2 linked regions of the Oryzias latipes genome follow. The protein of the gene in region 2 binds, or shares a complex with, the protein of the main gene of each other region. Links are inferred from orthologs where the notes say so. Each region holds a gene or a part of one and is shown on either strand. Other genes may lie near its edges.

Region 1 (4,275 bases), on a different chromosome or scaffold from region 2:
TTTCTTAGCAAAGCATCATGGGACTTTATGTGACCTCCACCACCTGCCTCAGCTCCTCCATCAGAGGAGCCAGCTCCTTCTCCAGAGTCATGATGAGGCCTGAGGACAGAAAAGGAGGGTTTTTACAAAACGCCTCCCACTCGTGTGAAAAACCAGATGGATTCATTTTCACAAAGCTGGATGGCTCCTAACTGGAGTCTGTTGCTATGGAAACAATCTGACCCTACCCTGGTCAGGATCAGGTTTATCTGGAGAATCCCCTGACTGCATATGAGCACTGGACTGAATGTGACATCACACAGAGAAAATGGTTTACCTCCAGCTCCAACCACATGAAGTCAATTCACTCGCCATTTTTTCAGGATATATAAGCAGCGATAAGTCAATCTGAGTCCATGTTTCTATGGCAACCACTCTCACCAATCAGGAGTGAGCTTGTTGGAACTCCACACCCCTACCACCACTTAAAAGACATGAAATCTGTCGAATGGATACTCTTATCTGATTGGTCAGTTTATAACTTGAACCACAGAAAAATATGACGATCATAAAAAAAATGTATCCGAGTAAGAATACTTACTCGGATCAAAAGACTGAGTAACAGCTGTCTATTTCTCTGTAGGATTAGGTACTTCCTGTTTGGAACGCCAGGGGGGGAGGGCTCACTCTAGGTTTTGATTAGGCCCCTCCCACCTGAGTCTGCAGGATGGGTCAGACTCACAGGATTCATCTTTTGTCAGAAGGGGTTTGACAAGAACTTTTTTTCTTCTTTTCACTAAATATAATCCAGAACATTCCTGGAGATTCCCGTCAGACTAAATGATCTGAAATGTCGGGTTTTTTCTCAGATAAACTTCAACTTCTTGGCTCTTGAGCCGTATTTTAAATGCCAGTATTACCACATTGCAACATATTTTGGACGATGATGCTGAGTCACTTTCTCTGCTTTCTTTCATTTGGATGATGAAAAGGCCTCAGGTAAAAGTTTTTGCGTTTCCATGGCGATATTTCTCCTTCCCCACGATGCAGCAATAAGCTACACACGAACAGCGGGGTGCACGGAGATGAAGACTGAGATCATTTTAAGACACGCTCTGTTCAGAGAACATCAAACAGACTGCAGATAACCAGTGGGCGGGGCTCCTCAGACACGCCTCCTCATCTCACCTGTGTTGGCGCTGCTGCTGGCGATGAAGCTGACGACCAGCGGCAGGCGGTTAAACTGCATGATCTGTCGAGCAGAGACAGCAGACGGGTCACAAAGGCAGAACCAGAGCAGAGTCTGGTTACCATGGAGATTGGCCGGGTTAGGCTGGTTCAGAGCAGAAGGAATCCATCAGAGTGATTTGGTTTTTTTTTTTACTTAGCAATAAAAAAAACCCAAATATTTTCACTTCTCTGATTTTTCTTAAAAAAACTCAGGAAAAAGTTCAGCTGGCTTAACAAATCATGAAAAACAAAAGAAGACCAACAGATTCTGAGATTTTCCTCTGCTGGACGTTTTGTCTGCTCCATCAGAGGATAACGTTTGCAGACTTTTCTCCTCTCTGTCCCAGCAGAAGTTCTTCTTTACTCTCAGAACCCTCTGACATTTACAGAACCTGCTCTAGTGCTTCTGTTGTGATCCGACTCCCATGGATCATCTCATTTCAGTCCGTCTCACTCTGCTTTTATGTGAGGCTATTCTCTTAATCCCACCCCCAAAAGTTTACAAACAGGAAGTTTGTTACTATAAGAGACGATGGAGACTAGAGTCTGGTTCTGGATCTGACCCGGACCGGACACAAACTGGCAGGAACCGGATGAAGCGAGCGCGGGTGAAAGGCGCCGGTGTTCCGGCTGCCACGCCCCCACGCGGTGATGCTGGGAGGGGTCACCTGGTAGGTGTTGTAGTAGCAGATGATGCTCTTGTTCTTGGAGAGGCCCAGCTTGCTCCCCTGATCCGTGGCCAGAGCGAACGTGGACAGGAAGCCCGGTCTGAGCGCGTGCACCGGAACGCTGTCGTTGGCAACTGGAGGAAAACAAGCAGGCGTGTTAGGATGAGGACTTCCTGCTGGTGAGCGGTGCGTTCAAAGACCAGGGCCAGAAAAAAAAGTCAGAAAAATCCCCAACAGTTTGACCCCTAAAATGCAGATGAATGAGTCTTTTAGATCCATTTTCTGCTCTACTTTGGTGACTTCTAACCTAAACTCGTACGAGTGGAGCCAGAGCTGAGTCACCCCAAACCATGAAACTACTGCCACAACAAGAAGCTGCTGAGGCTGAGGATAAAGCGTTCCTGTTGAGTAGCAGGTTGGCCCTGAGGCCAAAAGTATTTCTAATAAGTTATTAAAACACAGTTTATTGGAACAGAAAACCCGAAACAGAAGAAGTCTCACCTTTGATTACCGGGACGCCGTCTCGGTCCGTCACCACGATAGCGTGAAGCCCGTCAACACTGAGGACACAGAAAACTACTATTTACATGTGATATAAGATACAAAAACTCTTTTTTGAGAAAAGAGATTTGATTTATAATACAGATTTTTTTTTCTTGTTATATAGTTAAAGTAAATCACTTTGTGCAATAACAATAAGGGACAAAAGCCTCACCTCTGCATCTGTTTGTACAGGAACCTCTTCAGATCCTGCAGACGGGAGCATAAAGAGTTAAGGAGCAACCTCAGAAACAGTCAAGAACGTGGACGTCTGTGAGCTTTAGAGCTTCAAACCGTCAGAGAAGATCCTGGTCTCCCCACCACCATTTTCACCCAGCATTACTGACAATAGTGACCGAGTAACCGCTGTTAATTTCTCCAAAGAAGTCTATGGGATTCTGGCTTCTTGGAGCCAACAGGTACTTCCTGTTTGGACAGCCAGGGGGAGGAGTCACCCAGTCTAGTTCTCATAAACAGTTAATGGAAAAATGTCACGTGACCTCTGTAGAGCGTCTGTTTTTAACACAACATATCCACATGTATAGAACAGAAAGAAATAAAGATGAAAATTAGGACTGTAGTCTAATACAAATGTAATATAAAACTAAGGGTTGTTACACAGCTTATCTGTTTTGCACTTTTGTTTTAATAAACTTTAGTGATTAAAAAAAACATATCTCTCTCTAAAATTTATTAAGTAATGGTTTGATTTTTTTTTAAGAATTTGCTGTTGTGAATGAAACATTAATACAATATTAAATGCCAAATGAAATAATTTATCACCTACAAACCATCCCACATGATACTGTGTGTTTTTGTAATTAGAAGAGAATAGTGAACTTTGAGCATCTTCCCAAAAACTAAAGAGTTTTTAGTGAAGCCTAACAGAACAGGAGGTGCTAAAGGAGGACAGACAGACTCACGTCCGCCATGGCAGCTCCGAGGACCCAAGCCGGTTCCGTCACAGGAAGTCAGGAGAACCGCCGGCTCCGAATCCAAAACACGACGAGCCCGTCCGGAGCGTTTCCACAGTGAGCTCGGTCCTCTGAACGTTTAAACAAACAATCAGCTGATGCTACCACCGTGAATTTCCAAAGAGCTGCAGTCACGTGACGCTTCTTCTTCGCTGTCACGTGACGCTTCTTCTTCGCTGTTTTAAACTGCCGTGTGCTCTCTGCTCCCCCTGCTGGTGGTCAGACGTCATGGTTCATCCATGGTCAAACCAAGTCTAATGTTTTTTGTCTTCTTTTGACTGGGAAAAATGTAGATAGAAAATATATTAGAACCTCCATCATAGTTCTGGACTAAGTGAAGATTCTAACATTACTTACAACTGATCGAAATGTGCTGGCAACATATTTCAATAAAGTTGACTAAAACTTTATTTTCCAATTATTTTGAATTGGAAATTTCTTTTAAACTTATTCTAAACACAGCTAAAATATTTCGCAGCTACTGCCACCTACAAGAAAATATTAGTATTTGGTCTCCAATCAGATACAATATATTGATTTATTTGTCCGGTATTGTAACATCCCTTATTATAGATTATTATACTGTCTTGCTGTCCCTGCTGAAAGCCCGTCGTCAGTCCATCCATCAGTAACATTTGCCCAATAAAAGTCATTAGTTCTTTTTTCAGCAGAGCTGCCTCCTCCAGATCGGTTGTTTCTTTCTGTGTGGATTGCTCAGGTGGGTGTCGTCACCTCCAGGGTCCTTTGTTTCCAGGACATTCCAGGCACTGCAGCTCAGGCAGGAGAAGGTTTCTGATCATGTTCTTCAGAACAGGTGAGACGTGAACTAAATCTTCAAACGTTCATCTTCCAATTGTCAAATGTAGTTTTAGGGGAAAAAAGCC
Region 2 (4,044 bases):
ATTCTATTTACTTGTGTTTTTGGTAAATTTCTAATTCCAAATGACAAAGTCCATTTCAGAGGTGGGAATTCCACTACATTCAATAGTTTAAAAGAGTCCAGAAGGTGGCAGCATAGTCCAAAAAAATAAATACTCAAATCCAGGTCTGCCTATATGATTATCCATGAGTCTAACCCTCACAACCACTTAATCCTGGATAATATGGTTTGTTTTGTATCTCACTGTTAAGCCACTTTGAATTAAATCATCCATTAAATGACTTAAATGTACAGTATTGAGGAGGTGGGGAAATTATTATATTCCAACATCCGGAAGTTCCAAAAGTCATGAATAGTATAGAGGAGCCAATACTCAGAAAAATAATTAGGCATGGTCTCCCACGTGACCAGCAGGTATAGAGGATGCTCATCTCTGCTGCACCTCTGTGGCACAGAAGTTGAAGCTGATTGCACAGCGTCTTGGAACTCTTATTTGTACACTTCCACATTTAAAACTACAAAGGCACACCTTAAATGCACTAAAACTAAGAAATAGAAGAAGTTGTGCAAAGGCACAGTCCATGGCTCACCCTGACTCGGACTCTAGGCACACAGTCGGTGTGTCCGTCAGGTCTCTGGTGAGAGCAGCTGCTTGTTTAGCCAGAACAGACACCACACCTCCATGTTCATCTGACAGAGATCCACGACCTAAAAAAAAAATATGTCAAAGACCCGCTCTGATGAAAATTGTGTTTTAAACATGTTCTTTTGGCATTTTTCTGATGATGGAGAACATATTCAAAAATGCATTTTTCAGGATTTGTTTATTCAAATCGTTGTGAATCAGCAGAATCCAGACTAGATCCATGGACGTCTTTGTTTTTCTCATCCGAGCAGTTATCGGGTTAAAAACTCTAGGACTGTATAGCTCTGATACTGCTCGCTATTTTTGATGTACCGCTAATGTTAGGCTTGGGGTCTGAAGGGCTGAAAGCTAGCAGGAGAGCATGTAAACAGTAAACAGATGAGTGACGACAAGTGGGCTTACTTCACGCCGACAGTCCTGCTCACAACTCAAGAGGTGAATTTTTAAAAAAACTAGTGCTGCTCTGCAGAAACTTTGTTCTGGAAAATGACTATTTTTTTTGGGTCAAAAACAGCTTCATCATAAATAAAAGACTAGGAATGCTTTTGAAATAGATCAAAAGATGATCAGAGTGGGACTTTAAATGATGACCTGCTTTAGATGCATCCTTCTGCTCATCAGATCAGTTCATTTGGACTGCAGTCTTTATTTAGAATTTAACTTTTTTCTTAAAGTAAATCTGATTTCACGTTTTTACAATGTCAGAGCACCAACAGTGTGATAATTTAACATGTAGCTTTAACATCTGGCAGCAAAGGTGTAATAACCAGCAGCAGATCAGACCACCACAGTGAGCCAGAATTCTTTGCTATGTTTGCTGGTCTGAACTGTTACTATCATATAATAGATCAAATCAGTTTGCCTCAAGAGGAAATTGTTACTTATTCAGTTGAAGACCCATTTTTAAATTATTCCGACTCAGGTCTTCAACACGGAAAACAGTCGATCAGTCATGAGAGCCAGGCATGTCCAAAGTCCGGCTTGTGGGCCAAATCCGGCCCCCTTTCAAATTTTCACCGGCCCGTAGGCTCCTACATAAAATCAACAGAACGCGTCCTGCAACAATATCTAAAAGCTGTGTGGTTGGCTAAATCAGACTTTATAAACCTGTGGAAACACTGTTGTGCGACCCTTTTGTGACACTCTCTAGCTCTTTAAGGGTCAACCTCTTAAAGGACAAATGGAAAATTTGAACATTTTTTCAGTGAAATATAAAACAACTGTGTCTGCCTAATGGGCCAGAAGACTGTGGCTGTTTTCATGGAGTTCAATATCAAGAGAAACTACCAGATAAGACATGCTAATACGACAAGCTAACTGTGAATGAACTGTGCAAAAAATATACAAATGTGACAGTAATTTTGGTAAAAACGTAGTTAGATGTCTGTTTTCTATGTGAAGACTGTCATGTAATCATGAAATGTCATGAAAAGTATCCCATTGCAGTATATTTAATTTAATGTGTTTCAAATAGTTCTAAGATTCACTGCAAATATGGGCCTCTTTGGAAAAAGTAACACATCCCGTTATGTAAGCAAAGGATGTCTTTAGGAGACAGATGTCTACACATGATCTGCACTGACCTAAACACTATGGGTCTTCTTTCTGAGTTACATCTTTGCCTCTCTCACTCACTGGCAACATTTCTCTAATGAGATTAAAGACTAAAACATCAGAAATAACAACATGATCTCTCATAAACAGCTGGCGGTGGAAACTTGTGTTTTTGGGGAAACTAAACTGTTGCGGGAATTTATTTATTAGCGAAACTGACGAACTAGAGAATATCGACTACGGGGTACTTCGTGAATAAATACATGTGATGTGACTTCCTGTTAACTCTGAAGAGTCTTACAGCCCAAGTTGTGTCCTTGTTGGTCCGTGCATAGAACCCCAACAACAGCTGGATTTTTCATGCTGCAGAAAAAACACGAAATCAAGAGAATTAGCCAAACGAATGTACGAAATGTAAAGAAACAAGCTAGTTAGCATAGATTAGAACTCACGTATCGTCAAGGTGTTGTTCGAGGGTTGACTCCATCTTTAGAAAACCGTAAAAAAATCAGAAAATGTAAAGTTCTATGGCCCAAAAATTGTATTTTTTGTTGTTGACGTTTGTTTCCTTAAATTCCTCCTGACAATCATGTGACTGTGACGTACAGTAAGAGACATCGCCAGGGTCAAACAAGACGAAGCGCGAACGGCTGAGCCAACTCAAAACTACAAAACAACCAACTAAAGACAGACTGATAACTGTATCTTTTAGTACAAATTAAAAATAATTGGTTTTCAGTAGAATAGAATAGAATAGAATAGAATAGAATAGAATAGAATAGAATTGACGGCTTAATTCAAATAAATGATTTTTGGTGTATTTTTTAATTCTTGTGACATTTTTCTGATGATGCAGGACACATAAAAAAAATAAGATTAAAATTGCATTTCTGAGTATTTCTTTATTCAAATCGTTGTGAATCAGTAGCATGTGCAAAAATGCCATTTGAAATATCCTGCAGATCTGACGTAGAAGCTACTACAAGCTACTACAACCAGCAGCATTTTCCATTATGATGGATTGGCTTGTAGATGACTAGATCCTTGTACATCTTTGTTTTCTTTGCCAGAGCTGACATCTGGATCAAAACGGTATGGCTGCATAGCTCCAATATTGCTAGCCATTTTTGTTGCATAATTTTAGGTTGGGGGCTGTGAGGGGCTGTAAACTGATGATAGGAAGCAGGGATTGGCTTAGTCCTCGCCAACAGTCCCGCCCACAACTCAGAGATGAATTTCTAATGAACTACTGCCACGCTGCAGAAACTATGTATGTCCCTGAAAACGACAAAGGTTTTTTGATTTAGCCTAAAAGCGGCATAGTTATAATTAAAAGACTACCGGTACTGGAAACACTGAAAATAGATCGAATGATTATTGGAGTGGGACTTAAACTGTTTATCTTACTGCAGTGCAGTGGCGGTTTTTGATATGGTCGATGTGGGCGGTCGCCCAGGGCGGCACTTCATAGGGGGCGGCATTTGCCGTTCCTGAGGCGTTACACATAATATGCTACATACTAAATTCAAAGAGGAAGCTTGGAGCTTTTAATTTGAAATTGCTTGAGCAGCCGACACTTAATGCTTTTATTTAGACACATCAGACTCTAAAGAATGTCTTCCTCCTATTTGCTCTTCACACTTATGGTGCAAAAAAAAAAAAAAAAAAAAAAAAAAAAAGAATACCTCAGAGTGAAACAACGTAAAACCGGCACATGAAAATGAATTAGGCAGAACAAACATCCGTGCTCAACCCAATTTCGAAAAAAGCAGGCAATGGAGATTATTTCCCACAATTCTTTGCTCCGACACAGCAGACCCGATGCGCACGTGACCACCGCCCTCTGCTGCAAGACGATTGCGGCCA

The links.
Region 1: lamtor5 (region 2) and lamtor3 share a complex: the UniProt entries of both Homo sapiens proteins name them as parts of the ragulator complex. The link is inferred for Oryzias latipes from reciprocal best matches to the Homo sapiens genes LAMTOR5 and LAMTOR3.

What each region holds. Positions count from the first base shown.
Region 1 is NC_019880.2:24,349,269-24,353,543, reverse strand, and holds the start of lamtor3 (ragulator complex protein LAMTOR3), read right to left. Parts: upstream 2,811-4,275; 5' UTR 2,745-2,810; coding exon 2,712-2,744; intron 2,628-2,711; coding exon 2,593-2,627; intron 2,438-2,592; coding exon 2,379-2,437; intron 2,012-2,378; coding exon 1,878-2,011; intron 1,232-1,877; coding exon 1,168-1,231; intron 100-1,167; coding exon 26-99; 3' UTR 1-25. UniProt on the Homo sapiens protein: As part of the Ragulator complex it is involved in amino acid sensing and activation of mTORC1, a signaling complex promoting cell growth in response to growth factors, energy levels, and amino acids.
Region 2 is NC_019865.2:10,897,387-10,901,430, forward strand, and holds the start of lamtor5 (ragulator complex protein LAMTOR5), read right to left. Parts: upstream 2,805-4,044; 5' UTR 2,666-2,804; coding exon 2,631-2,665; intron 2,542-2,630; coding exon 2,480-2,541; intron 687-2,479; coding exon 569-686; intron 1-568. UniProt on the Homo sapiens protein: As part of the Ragulator complex it is involved in amino acid sensing and activation of mTORC1, a signaling complex promoting cell growth in response to growth factors, energy levels, and amino acids.